Lytechinus pictus: one gene and its partner. Each later gene encodes a partner of the first gene's protein in a complex. Links are inferred from orthologs where the notes say so. Each region holds a gene or a part of one and is shown on either strand. Other genes may lie near its edges.

Evidence for each region.
Region 2: pre-mRNA-splicing factor RBM22-like (region 1) and pre-mRNA-splicing factor SPF27-like share a complex: the UniProt entries of both Homo sapiens proteins name them as parts of the postcatalytic spliceosome P complex. The link is inferred for Lytechinus pictus from reciprocal best matches to the Homo sapiens genes RBM22 and BCAS2.

What each region holds. Positions count from the first base shown.
Region 1 is NC_087262.1:21,577,244-21,585,492, forward strand, and holds the start of pre-mRNA-splicing factor RBM22-like, read right to left. Parts: upstream 3,437-8,249; 5' UTR 3,372-3,436; coding exon 3,318-3,371; intron 1-3,317. UniProt on the Homo sapiens protein: Required for pre-mRNA splicing as component of the activated spliceosome. Involved in the first step of pre-mRNA splicing.
Region 2 is NC_087246.1:47,382,059-47,389,456, reverse strand, and holds the start of pre-mRNA-splicing factor SPF27-like, read right to left. Parts: upstream 3,388-7,398; 5' UTR 3,276-3,387; coding exon 3,201-3,275; intron 1-3,200. UniProt on the Homo sapiens protein: Required for pre-mRNA splicing as component of the activated spliceosome. Component of the PRP19-CDC5L complex that forms an integral part of the spliceosome and is required for activating pre-mRNA splicing.

The DNA.
Region 1 (8,249 bases):
CTGAATCTCCTAGGATGGGAGAAAATTACCTTGACAAAGACTGAGGTAACTTGCCAGTTCAGGTGCACAGCCAAATAATGTTGGAGATTCTATACGCGTGTCGTAGCTTAGCTACTAACAAAGAGGGCAAGATGGTGACGTCAACATCGGTAAGTTACATCCCATCTCCTCGAAATAAATTTCTGGGTTTTTTAAATATGTATGTTTTAAATATGTAATGAATAATGTTTGAATGTTGGAAATGAAGTTCTAGCGCATTTACATAATTTAGGGCTAGAACTTAGAAGTAGAACTATTTTTACCTTCTTATAAGTATACGCGCATGTAATGTTGTAACCCGCAAGTGAAAACCCGAACCGTACCGTCCCGTATAATCCAATAATTTGCAAGCGGGACCCGCTGACCCGTCGGGTTTTAACCCGCAAGTAAATTTATCTTTGAAAAGTGAAAATTATTTCTGCAATCCCCACACTATACAGGCTCAAATCACGAAAATATATGCCAACTACTAACCTAGCCTAGAGTGAATTTACTTACAATTTGCAAATTTGCCTTTTATTCCGGAGAGAAAATGTTTTTGGGGGTTACTTTGTACCCGAAATGGGTCGGCTCTGATCTCGTAATCGAAAGCATTGCGCAATTAACTCCTCGGATCGGAGCCGCAGCTCAGCGCGCGCTAGCTACATGTAGCCCAGGCTGCCCAGCAAATTCGATGTTCGGTTTCCCGTCGCCCGCCCGCGTTATGAAATTTGGACCGCGTTTAAAAATCAAATTCTGAAAATAATTCATTATTTTACTATTTTGACATAGATATAGATTCAGAACTGATATAAAACATTAATATAAGCTTTTCAGTCACAATTACTTGTATATCATGTAAATACCTGTAATTCTTTTCTTGTTTTTTTCTTGTGAATGGAATGACACTGCATGCTCAACCACACCTCGAGCGATGTTCGTGCAGCGCAGGCTCCACTCAACTTCACTTCTGCTACACTACGCTCTACCTACCCGATGTAGCGGTAGTGAAGTGGAGTGGAGCCTGCACGAACATCGCTCGAGGTTTGGTCGAGCTACCTCAATAAATCCCATAGTCTAGTAACCTCGCATTGGTGAGTTGTCATACGGCATATCAGACAAAAAAATCATCAAACAAAACTCAATCTGTTTTACAAGGCCGACGGGAGGCTCACGCACGTACGCATTGGCGCTTGTACTAGCTAGCCAGTCTGAGCTCTGTCTCTCTGCCAGAGCTCTGGGGGACAATTCGCTCTGTAAAGTTTATATTTCGGGAATATTATTCAAAACTGCCAATAAAGTTAGATGATTTCTTCATTGTCATGTATATTTAAGTTATTAATGAGTTCATTCTCACCAAATTTAGACTCCCCCATAGAGAAATGCAATTTTCGTGGAGATCTGCGTTTTCAAAGAACATCAGGAAAAGTTAGGGTATGTGGGCCTTTATTACATGGCCAAGTACTGGAATTAGATGGAGTAGAAATTAGATATTGAATTCATTTATATCCAAGTTCAACTCATAGTCACACCCACACAAACACACCCACATCCAAGATTCTAAGCATGAAAAAAAATAACTTTAAAATCATTCAATATTAAACAATAAGTAATAATTAATTTAATAAGTGAACAGGGATTCCTCAAAATACAAAAACGTAGCATTTGAAAAGAGCCCCCAAAATGAAAAAAGTAGCCTCCAAAACGGTAGAAATGGAGACCCTGAAATATTACCCAAAAAATGAAAATGGAACCCCCGAAAAAAAATGATTGATTTGCTCCCTGGCTTCAAGACAGTTCCACAGAATAAAAGTGCGTTCAAAGGTTACAAAAGGTCAAACTTTCATCTTCTGGAAAATAATGAAATCCTCATTATGAGCTTGAAAAAATGGGACGGGAAACTCGACATCGAGTTTCATTGGCCTATGCGATTGCTTTTGACTAGACTGTGCTGCGCTGCACTGGCGCGCGCGCTCCTTCTTCAAAAGAGCAACTCGATGTATTTATGTCGAACTGTCTCAGTTCTGTTCACTGTTCACAAGACAAAAATACGCCAGCATTTTTTTTAAAGGAAATATCTACGTCTCTAAAAGAATCCGCCACGTAAGAAGCACATGATCCTAACTCAATTTTCATTTATTATTTTGTTAATGTTTTTATTATGCGTCGTTACTTCTCCCTTTTTTTTGGCATGACGGTCTGCGGGTTTGAGAATGAACTCGGCCCGGCCCGCAACCCGCGATCGGGGGCATACCGGCAGGTTAACCCGTACCGCAACGGGTGCGGGTTACAACATTACGCGCATGATTAATGGGCACAACCCCTGGCAGTAGAGGCGCACGGCCAATATTGGAGACTATCTGCAATGTGGGAGATTATCTCCAATATCAGAGACTTTTGTAAAGAATTTTGGTATCCAATTTTAGAGACAGTCTCCAGTTTTGGAGTCCAATTTCCTTTGTTTACATTTGCTTCAAAAGGATTACCTTGGCGGCAAATAAAAATGTAATAAGTAGATTCCTCATAAAAAATTACCCCTTTTCACCGTCTACTTTAAAAATTCACCGTCTACTTTTGTTTTGATAAGGATTTTTGTTGTCAATCACACACAAAACAAATGGGCTTCTGACCTCAGTGAGACAAAATTTTGGGTGGAAAAAATCATGCTTTTGTTAGTGTTGTTTCTTTTGTCCTTTTGCAAAGCAAGTCTCCAATGTGGGAGATTGTCTCCCCTATTGGAGAGAGTCTCCCATATTGGCCATGCGCCTCTACTGCCTGGCTCCGTGACACATTAGTGAATTTTTACTCTCTAGGAGCCTAATGGCTACTCTAGACTTGTGCACCTCAAACTACATCATGTAACTGCTCATGCTGAACTGCATTTCATGTTGACGCCGAAACGAAAGCGAAAGCATAAAGATTTGAGCAAGCTCAGCTGACGTTTCCTATCAGTCACACAGTTGACATTCAGATTATATATTCCATCCATATTCATGGTTACATTCAAGCAAAAATTAGGCTTTCGCACCGACATTTCTGTCAATTAGCTTCAATGAGCAATGAGTCACACACGTCCACTTTTTTTTCTTCTTTTCTCTTCATCACAGAAACCAATACACGAATACCAACAGGTGGGACAGTACAACCAAAAATTACTCCACAACATGAGATTGCAAAATAGCATGGATCTTTGTAAATCTTACATGAAATCAAACGGAATGTTGATGAAATTCTTGAGGGAATAATGAAGATTCACATTATGACCCAAATAAGATAAAATTAATTCGTAAAATACTTACAGCTTCTTCCCAATTCAGTCGATTGTAGGTGTTTGCGCTTTTGCTCACCGCCATCGCTTGTGCTGCTTTCTTAAACTGAAATTACCGACCGAAAATAAAAGTAGCAAGGCGATAAAGGCATACGGTATCGCTTATAATTAGTCAGTTTAGTTTTTGGTAAAAATATTTATCTTTTTCATTTTTCAACTTAATTTTTAAAGTGCTTTTTTCGGTTAATTTTTACAATTATGATTTGTTATTGAATACGTTTTTTGTTTGTATTTTGTAGAATTCTCTGAACATCTAACTTACTTTGTAGGATTACATGTACTTTCAGAGTAACATTGAATCAAAGACTTTTTAGGTTTTTGATGACTTCTTTTCATCCCACTATTCTTATCATCTGTTCTCACCCATACTTTTATCATCGATTTTTTAATAAAACAATTGCACACCTAGTTACCAATAATGAATATAGCATTTCCATTTATTTGAAAACAGGATAAAATAGCATTGTAGAATAAAAGCCTTGCTCAAGGGCATAGGTGCCGCGGCCGGGGATCGAACCCCGGACTTTCCATGTGTAGCCAGGCGCCTTCGACCACTCGGCCATGGCACCACCACATTGATTGATTGATCGATTGATTGATTGATTGATTGCTTCTATTTTCCAAGTCACCATACATGTATACAGTAGCGTTAAAATCATAGGCTTGAACAGGATAACCAGTTGGAAGCTTATTTCGTTATTTGTATTTCTAATGAGCGATTTTAATGGGATGTTGCAAGAATTTTGCAATCGATTGCATGTCAGTTTTAAATCTTGAAATTAATTGCAAATTTGCAATTGTCTTCTCCTTGTATAACAAGAATACCGTTGATTTGCTTTTCTTAAAATTGATCTATAACTTGTAACATTTACAATTAATTGCAAATATTTTCTTGCAACACTCCCTAGGAATAATGGGCCCATAACCTAAAAAATCACTCGAAGAACACAATTTGTTAGCTTTCGGGACTGGTATGTATTGAATGCATTTATAATGGATGAGATGAGTTTTGTTCAGAATTCGGAATGGCGCAGGTATATAGGTCTACTCCTCACAATTTTGAGTGAAATTAAACACCCACTCCATAAAAAAGCCTAGGAAAAAAATGACACTATAATTGTGTCTCCCACTCTCTCACTGTCTAGTTCTTAATGGCATCACATAAATAATGAGTTTAGCTCACAGCTAGAGGTGTAACAATACAAAATATGAAATGTCTAATTTCGAGTATATGCAGTGCTGATTGTTCACCACAGCACTCACACAAAAGCAGGTGCAGTGGAAAATAAAAATATATTTTCTTTTGTGTGTGTATTATTCCTGTGAAGATCGACTGTCATTCTATTTGTTTCATTTTCAAGAGCCCCGGTCTCCGAGTGCTATGAGTATGGGCATATAGTACACATGACATTCTGATAAATTTGTCGATGTCAGCAGTTTAGGCCTATATCGCATGATAGCTGACTTGTTCAACACTGAAGCAATAGACCTGCTATATTATTATTATTATTACTGTTATCATTATTATTATTATTATTATTAATATTCTTCTTCTTATATTCTTCTACTACTTCTTCTCCTCCTCCTCCTTCTCCTTCTCCTTCTTCTTCTTCTTCTTCTCCTTCTCCTTCTTCTTCTTCTTCTTCTTCTTCTTCTCCTTTTTCTTCTTCTTTACGGCGGAGCAAGATGCTGAAATTTTGATCAAAATCAGATAACAAATAACAAAGTTATTGAATTTTAAACATTTGCATATTATTCCGGTGAAACATTTCTAGGCAAGTCTTTATGAACATTCATTAGATGGGCTCATGATGTCATATCCCCACTTGTTCTTTTGTATTTTATTATATGAAATTAGGATTATTCAAAATTTTTCTACCAAGAACGAAAACAAGTGGATTGACAACTGATTAAGTGCATTAGTTATTTATTGCCGCAACTTATTTCATCATAATGGAGACACATTATTTACACATGTATGAAAAAACGAAACATTTATGTTTTCATGTAATAGCAAAAGAAAAAGAAAAGTGGGGAGTGACATCATCAGCCCACCTAATGAATATACATGACGATGTGCGAATAACCGTTTTCACAAAATATTTATAAACTTTAAAATTCAATTATTTTGTTATCCGATTTTGACGAAATTTTCAGCAATTTGCTTTGTGAATTTTACACTATTTATTTGAATATAAATATTTTCAGCCTAGACCATCCCTTTAACATTCCGGGTTAACATTACACCCCCCAATCAATGAAAATCAAAAGCAATGAAGCCTATTGCATGTTCTATTCGAATCCATTGCACTTACGCCCTCAACATAGGCAAATCGCGATATAGCAGATATCGCAGGTTTTCTATCGTCTGCTACGTGTGTAGAAGCTGGAAGTCAATCCTGGAGTCAATTTGGCAAATTTTGTATTCGGTGAACTTTTATCTTTAATTACGCTGAAATAAGATAACAAACATCTGAATCTGTTTATGTGACAGAGGAAGAGATCCATCTTGACATATAAACGAATGCAGATAATTCAGTGAGTAACCTTTTTGTTGCAGTTCGTCGTTTTTAAGTTTATGATGTTGCTTAGATTTTGGAGGTTAATAATACAGTGCATGTGATGCGGATTGGGATGTACTCCGCGGGGAACTCCGGGGTTGTTGGTCTCAGCGTTGTGGGATACAGGTGATATTCGTTCTTCCGCTCTACCCACACGCCGCGCTGCGCATATCGAACATTGATGTTCATGTTAAAACTGAAAGTGGGGAAGTCAAACACAATTTGAGAGATAAAAACTGAGAATATGATGGTAAAGTGATTGAACTCCTGGCATTTCGGAGATTGTACCAAAATGATGATGGTGAAGATGAAATGTTACAGTCAGTGGCGGACCGTGACCCGGAGGAGACAATTAAAGCATTGGAGGGGCACTGTATTCATGGTATTATTTGTGAACAATGCTGTGCCCCTCCAATGCTTTGTCTCCTCCGGGTCACGGTCCGCCACTGGTTACAGTGATGGTTGTGGTGGTGGTGGTGGCCTGATGATGATGACAGTGATTGCTGATGATAATGATGTGATGATTATGGTTATGATGATAGCGGTGGGGTGGTGATGATGATGATGATGGTGATGATAAGTTATGATTATGGTGCATGGTGCATAATCATCAATTTCATCATAATGAAATTGAAGATTATGATTGTGCAAATCATTTTGATATTTTTATTATTGTGATGCTGGTGGTTATATTATATTGTGAATAATTTTCCTGGTATCAAATTGCATTTTGCTTCACATTTTTTATAGACTGAAACAGAAAAGGTATTTTTTATGTAGCAGATTTTTACACTGTACAGGACTTAGCTGAGAGATTTTCTCTTATGATAACCAAATTTGGTTGGCAAAAATTTGTATTTTATTACATAACAAACATAAATATATTGATTACTGTTTTTTAGGTATGAATCATTAATCTTCTGGGGTTACTTTTTTTTAGCTCACCAGCCCTCGTTTGACACGTCACATTTGCCACAGTGTTCATTGGACTCTAGAGGGATATCAGGGGATCTTTTGAATTTTTCCAGGGCTATTGGGGCATTTTTTGGGCGATTTCGCCTGAGCCCCCATATTTTGTGCCGTGCTGGTAATTGTGATCATGATTCAGGACTGAAATTATACCAATATTAAAGGCCTCAAACACCATGACTTGGATGCACTGTTGATTAGCTTTGAAGCCCCTCTCATTGGCCTTGAAGATTTGTTGTACTGGTACTCCTGTTTTCATTTTTTTATTGTTTAACTCCCATTTTAATTCCCTATTTATGGTGTACTAGTAGATAATGTGCCCTGTGGACAAGTGGCCTTGCCCTTAGAATGGGAATATTAATAACATGATATTGCTTATGATTAGGCTACTTATGATAATTGTGACTGGCATTTATGGGGAAAAATATTGGGAATTATTAATGTTTCTTGAAAAAAATAATCATTCTATTGTCCTTGCTGCAGTCAATAGAACAGATCCTTGTGATTCCTCTTCAGTAGAACTGAAAGATTTAGAAAAGAATAATTTGAAGCACTTAAGCAGAGAAGTTCCAGAAGCATTTTATAATAACAATTTTTCGGGGTAGGGGGCTTGACTCGACAAATCATATCCTCAGTAACCACTAGAGAAACACCCCCAAATTTGTTATTATGTCATCAATTTTTATTTCCATATCAATCTCAGATCAATCAGATCTCTCAAGTCTACACAATAGTTTCCATGTTGGTTCTCACTTCGGACCTAGATTTTCCCTTCAAAGCATCTGTTCTGTGCATCCAACCATCACAAACAATAATCCATGAGATATAACAAAGGCTTTAAAGCTCTTTCAATGACATTGAACTGCTCAACTGCTCTGGGTGTGCGTATTGATTTTAGAAAGTTGACACGTGCCTCGAAAACTTTCTGTAGTACTGGCCCTGGCTGCCAGCTGCTACAAAATTTGGGGAAAAATAAGGAAAAATTAGGGGGGGGGTCCAAAGGAAGGGCTAACTGTTCCAGTTTCTTATTAAAGTTTTGGTGATTTTTTGTAAAGTGAAATCTCATTATTGTACTTTACAAAGTTAGTGAAAAAATCTGATCAATTTAAATGATAAGAAAAATCAAAAGATTGAAGTGGTTGTAAAGTAAAAAAAATAAACAATTTACATATTTTTTTTTCTGTGTGTGTAACTTTTATCAAAATGATTTTATGTTTTATTTGCAAATAGATTTCTTTTGGTAACAAAATAAAAACACAGACTTCCATATACATTTGCTGAGTGAAATTATATTTTCATTGGGGCATAGATCCCAAGATATATGCTCACATATGTGTATTGACAAATTAACTATTGCCATTTTAACAAATTAA
Region 2 (7,398 bases), on another chromosome or scaffold:
CCGCCGCGCACAGAAAAATCAAGCCATAGTCATAAGTCGTGTGTTGTGGACAGTGGACACCAGAAGTGGGATCCCAGCACGCGCGACCCACTAGTTAGAAATCCACTGCCAAACGCGGTTCATGGTGCGAGGTTAGTATACTAAGTAATACTCACTCATGGGATCAATGCATCTCGCGTGCGAAGGATTCATATGCACATGGTGCACGCAAATTTTTCACACCCTTTTTACTAAAATAACTATGCCATTCCTTTTAAAATAATATTTCTAATTGTGCTATGACACTTACCGAACCATATGGATCGTTTCTTGTCTTCTCTTTGGTGTGTTTTTAAGAAAAAAAAAGCATTTTCTCGTGATCTTCACATAGATACCGCAGGGTCATCGTGGTTGTAAACTTTTGCTTAAAGAGGGCGCGCGATATTATTCACAAGATGTTTGTTTACTGTTCTGCAGCTTGTACTGCTAGCTGCGTTTTAGACGCTCAGCATTATTTTCCTCTTTCTGTTTTTTTTTGGCTGTCAAGCGGTATTTTCTATTGTAGCGCCATCAGCGATGATGAAATGTAAAGAGTCGCCTTGAAATGAAGAAAAATTATGTCACATTAATTCGTTAGTTTGTTTCCTATTTTTTTGCACTTTTTTCTTCTTCCTCATCTATGATCAAAGGTGAATACCTTTTTTTGATATCTGTTCTAAAAGCTGGACATTTTAAATATTTTGTTCAAGTAAATAAATCAACAGGATAGTAATCAAAATGCGATAGAGCTGCCCGAGCTGAAAATTCTGATACAAGGACTTGAAAATAAAACATTCTGAGCACTTTTTATAACCATGATGAGGAGACCTATATATATTTTATGGCCTCCTTTTCCCTCTCTCTCCTCTACTTTCCCCCTCCCCTGATCTGTCTTTTATTGTCTCTCCTTTCCTTTCCCGCCCCCTCCATTCCCTTTCTCCCTTTTTCCTTTCCCTTCTTTTCTTTCCTTTCTCCCTCCCCTACTCTTTTCTCGCTCTTTCCATTTTTCTTTCTCTCTCCCTTCCCCTCTTCCTTTCCTTTGTTTTCTTTCTATTTTATGGTCTCCTTTTCCCTCTCTCTCCTCTACCTTTCCCCCTCCCCTTTTCCTTTCCCTCTCCTTTTTTGTGCAAACATTAACACGAATATCTTGCCTCCTACACACACACACAAACGCCCGCAATCTAACACACGTAATGCGAAACAATCGGGACATTATCATTTTGTTCATGTATATTTTCTCAATGACCATTTTCATCTATTTAAAGCTTTGAAAATTATTAAACAATGATTCCATAGGCGAAATCTCAATGATCATTAGGAAGGTACTTTACCCATTTTCATTTTATGTCATTGTGATTATTCCATACTAAGGCAACATATTTTGGATATAAAAATACGTGAAGGATATGTTCCTCTTCTGTTTTATACTTTAACAGAAAACATTTTGTTCAACCAAATTATGATTTGTATTTCCAAGTTCCATGTAATATTTTCATTGGAAAATCTCTTAAAGGTCAAGTGCACCCCAGAAAAAATTGTTTGAATAAATAGAGAACTATGTTGATTTTTGGTACAATTTCCTATTATGCGCCGACGACTTGAATCGAGAATATTCGATAGGAAAATTTCGCATTTCGATTGTTGTTTGCGTAATTTCCACCGCAGTACGAAGGATGACTAAGGACGGACCGAGCGAAGTATCCTGGTTGAGATTTGGAGGTAAGCGATAAAAACACTTTAATAAATAATTTATAATTTCTTTTTCAAATAACCTTAAAGTAGGGTGTCTGGAGAAAAAAATTATTTTTCTTATTTCAAGAAAATATCACATTTTCTTTGTGAATTTGAAGAGAAATGACCTTCAGACTGACAGAAATGTAACATTTTGGAAAAAATCCAATTATTGGCTGCAAAAAAGAAGAATGAAATTAGGTAAATTTTCAGCATTTCTCTGCCATAGACTGTGTAGTTAAGAAATGGACACACACAAATCCAAATTTTTAGCTTCCGAGAGCTGTTATAAATTTATTATTAATGCCAAAAACTTGTCCATAAAGAGTCCAATAGGATTTTTTATGCTCTATCTGATGGTATGATTTTTATAAAGATTTTGAAACCAGATCACAATGAAAAATTGCGACAAAGTGAAAAAAATTGTGCAAAACAGAAATTTCATTTTCCCATAGAAAACGCATGGAGAAATGGCAATCTCAACACACACATAAATAAGGCCAGGGTTTGCAATTTATCTCTAAATCCTTATTTAAAAAGATCATATAAACTTGTCCTTACTGTCAAAAGGAGCCCCTGAATTTTCTCTTTCCATACATGCCAAACACAAGTTAATAATCAATTCAGATCACATTTTTCTAGTAGCCTGAACTTCCCCGAAAAAATGTGCCATATTTTCCCTAAATTAGCCTGTTTTATGCTGACACTTTTCAGTGTGGCTTCAGACACCCTACTTAAAGTAAACCATACGATCAAGATTAACATAGTGGAGAAATATTGAAAGGTTTGGCGTAGTTTAGTCCCTCACATTCGTGTGATGAATGAAAACGTCAAAATGCACTATGAAATCACATGTGTTGTGCGAGGTTAGTATACTAACCTCGCATGTTGTGTGAGTGAGTAATACTAACCTCGCAATATACGTGTGAGTGGCTGCAGTTCATTCTCTCAGTCTAACTTAGTCTAGACTTAGAGTCTTAAGACTAAGACTAGTAAGAGAGTAAAAATCATTTGCTAACGACTAACGTATGCTTACTCTCTACGGAGCCAGGGATTGTGACTTTTGACTTTTGTGTCCCATTCATTTGCGTGTACCAGTTCTACCACGAAAAAATTGAAACTTTCGCCCCCGAGCTAGAATAGGCTTCAGTTTCACTTTCAGTTTTTTCCCGGTACACGCACATGAATGGGGTTAACACCATCCCTGGCTCCGTGGAGAGTACAAGCATACGCTAGTAAATGATTTTTACTCTCTAGGAGTCACTAGTGCTAGGAGTCTCCTGGCTAGGTCCACGTCACTCACACTCCAAGACACAGTCACAGAATTGTTCCTCGAGTTGAAAACTAAACACCAAAATTAATACCTGGGACCGAAGTCACTTTCGCTCGCAGTCTAGTTTTGCCAAGGCAAAGACGACCCCCCAAAAAAAGAGATTATTCCAAATACCAACCGCTTCTCTGACTCCTGGTTCATCGTATCCCTGGTCGACATAGGGCAAGGCATCAACTATTACTTCTCCCGCCATATTTTCTCAGTTAGAATTACGAAAGAGGCCGACGAAATCAAGGCTTTCAAGCATCCCGTTTGCACTACAAAAAGTGAAAACGCCGCATAGCGCTACAGCTGGAATAGAGGGCGCTACAATGAGGGATAATTTTGATGGGGGGAGGCTTTCTTTGGGCAAAATTTGAAGAGAAAAAAAATCATAATTCTGCGGTCTTCGCCAATTTTTCTGACAAAATTGAAAAATCGTGAGCCTCAGATGCATCTGAGATTATGGAGATTAACCTCAATTACCACAGTCTACTGATTTTCCAATTTTGTCCACAAAAATCCCTGCAATTAAGCCTTAGCTCAGAACTTAACTGTCACTCAACGCTCGCGATTCCTATGGTTTGCCTCCCCCCCTAAAAAAATTAAAACTTGCATTTTTTTACTCAAAGTGATCACAAAATTCACCAACAGTGTGCACAAAATCCTTCAATTTCACTTTTAAAAATGCATAAGTGCCCCGAAGACAAGCTTGGTTGGTTGCTTTGCCCCCGATCACTTTGGAGTGTTTAAAAAAATGTATGCATCTTTGCCCCCCCCCCCCTGAAAATATTCTGTGTATGACCATTTTTGGGACACATTCATTAATATGATCTAATAATGAATTGGAATAGTGACATTCACAAATTTTTTTTTTTTTGGGGGGGTGCTGAAACAGGCAAAAGATAGACTTTAACAAAGAATGAGGAAAATCAGGTATTGCTATGATTGATCAGTCTTTATTTACAAGACGTCCAGTATCCCCCGGCCACTTAAGTGCTTTGCACAATGTAACACAAACGGTACATTTACAATCAATATAGATGCACCCTGTGCTTTGCTATAAATCTATCATAATAAATAATGACACCACAGAGATAATTATACCTCTTTCCATTAAAAAGTGACAGCCATCACTTGGTATACAAAGTTAACAAAATTGACATCATATGTAATTTCGTGAAGATTCACAGACATAATTCTTGAACTCTAACATGTACACCTGCAAATGTAAGTGATTTAGAATTTAGTTTTTATAATAATGTCCTGTAATTTTTTCTGATATCCCTATAAGTAAACCATGACATATTACCAAAATGAAAATAATTCAGACACACCTACCTATTTCACACTCACTGCTTGCTTACAATGTACATGTACGACATATACAGTGTATACAGGAATTATTTGAACACTATACATATAAAACGCAGTAAAAGGAGAAGATGCTGAAGTCAAAAAACTTCTAACCTGGCTGTCATTATACACAGTTAATTGATTTCATATGGAAGAGATAATAATAGCCTTGTTTTTCACCTAGTTGCAAATTGTGACTGATCAGTCATGCATTAAAGATAATATATCATGAAGTGCGATAATGCATATTTTCGGACCTTTCTGTCGTCATCTACGCGTAAATCACAATGCATCAATAATCATCACACTTGTATTTATTTCGTTCAATTAGTTAGAATATATCTAAGACGCACATGTACATGTACTTTGACAATTAATCTTGGGACGACTGCAGTTGTTTACACATGACTGGTGACCCTATCTTAGGCTAAATGATATATCACATGTAACTGACTGAGCACCTAAGAACATGTTCCAGTTATGCGTAGTCATGCGTAGCTTAACGCACAAAGACAGCTTTATGAAATACCACCCAGTTTGGAGTAATTCCAATCGTGAAATAATAGCAACAACTGAAGCAGGCTCAAGCAGCACTTCAAAACATTATATGCAAAACACATCATCTATCAGTTTTGAGTTGAATTTTCTCCCAAGAGATTCAACCTAGTACTGTGACGTCATAATTGCAAATTTCTACTTTATAATCTACTACTTCATGAACACATGTAATCAGCTGCATAAGCATTTGATGCTGAATCTTACTGAACCATATGTGAACCATACATAGTGTGACTGTGAGCCTGTAAGCTTTTGAATCTTCACTCTTAGGAATAAGGATGATAGATCACAAAATTATGCTGAAGAAGAAGACATGTCTATAAAGCAAAATTCAAAGTGGTAAGTTATACCCAAGCTAAAGTTAAACCTTACAAATAATTCATAGTCGTTTTATTTAAGTAAATCATGTACATGTGTTTCATCAACATTTCTCTGACATGTTGTCTGGTCCATCACTTTTCTGGATTAAGATTGGCTAAGAAATTTAGCTGTCTGTTACTATGGTTACAGTTGGATAAAACAGATTTCACGGGATAAAACATATGACAAATACTATTATGAAACACTCCACTGGGGTTTAAATAATTTCACTTTCCCCATATTAGGATATCACAAAAATAGCAAATTTAGAGCTTGAATATTTAAAATGACATGATCTAATTGCCAAACCTGGCAGTGGAAACACGACATTAACTGTAAACTGTATACAGAGATAAATATGGAATCCTTATCTCAGCATTATGAACTTTAGGAAACACAACCTCAACCAACAAGACAATACAAAAACAAATCAAATCAGTAAAGTCAATAAATCTTTGAAATCCTTATCTTATCTTACAATGTTTTTAACATAAAGATACAAAAAAATAATAAACAGCAAGATATCTTTAAACACAAAAACTAAATCCATACTTTAACAGAACAGATTGCTGAAAAGGTTATCGAGTTACACAAGGTGAATTTCTACAGTTTCAACTGCCATCGTTCTCAGAGAACATGTATCTATCTATAGTTTGAAGGTATCTCTGTAAAACCAATACAATGCAAGCAAGTCAATATGAGTTTAAAACAAGCTAATCCTGCATTGTGTCGATCATATCAATGACAAAAATAAACAGGGCTGCAGAGAAATTCGCCGAAATATATAAGACATACATCTACATGTAGTGGGTGTTGCAAGAAAATAATTACAACTTCAGTTGCAAATTTACAAGTGATAAGTCGACTTGAAGTAAAGCAAGGTAATATTTGTTGATGCAAGAATCACGCCAGTTATCAATTGCGAATTTCCGATTGATTACAAGACTTGTGATAGAGGGTCCTAAATCTAACTTTAATTGAATTGACAAAAATTTCTTGATTACATAGTCCTCATAGCAAGCATCAATAGACCTTTGTAATCACTACTGGGTCGATTCATATTGAAATTATAATATAAACAGACATATTGCACCTATGATTAAAATAAACATTTTTACACCAAAGGGTAAGCGAAGAAACTGTATTGATAATCACCTTTATGTATTTATGCTTTTAGGATCCTTCAATCGACTTATAAAGGAAATCAAATCTGATCTAAGACGAAATTGTAAGACCACCTGAGAACTGACAAACCTTTGGAAGTCGAAAAATGAGCATAGCCTATGAGAAGCTTGAATATTGTTTTCGTAATTCTACAAGCAATAAGTTCATGGATTATCATCAGTAATGTACATTTTATATCTTGTGTTGTTTTCACATGATGAACTACAATTTTCAAAAATCAATCTTTCAGAGTTAAGAAAGATGAAAATAGTTTGTTTCTAACTGGCCTATTACAAAAGCATTTAAACAATTAAAAAAAAAACCTTCTACTCAGAACTAATTTGTTTTTATTTTCACCAGCAGTAATATTCACATATTGTATTAAATACATGTAATTGATGTACAAATCATATCTCGTTTTCTGCTGCTTCATTTAACATAAAGATAGTAAACTTAGGAAAGGGAAAAAGGGTGTTAGATTGACAGCTATGACCCTTGCCCCTGAACCCTAAAAAGTTGGAAGTTTGCACTATCGTGAGAAGTGATATGTCGTCTAGGGCAATATCATCTACAGGTCTTCAAAGTTATCATTCTCTTGTGCAGACCTATGCCAAACTAAAAATCAATTCAAATACAAGGTAGTTGAAATATCTTGACTTTAAATATGAACACATCCATTAATATTACTAATATTAAGTTTCCACTATAAAAGAACATAACATGTATATCACTTTTAAAATACAAAAACGAATACACTCGAAATTTACATTATACTTCTCAAAATATGAAAGTAACAAAACATGTAAGGCTTTCAACTTTCATCACACTGAAAATCCATCTTTTGCCATTGAATAAATGGATTCACAGACCGAAATAGTGTTCGTAGCTGTATCAAAATG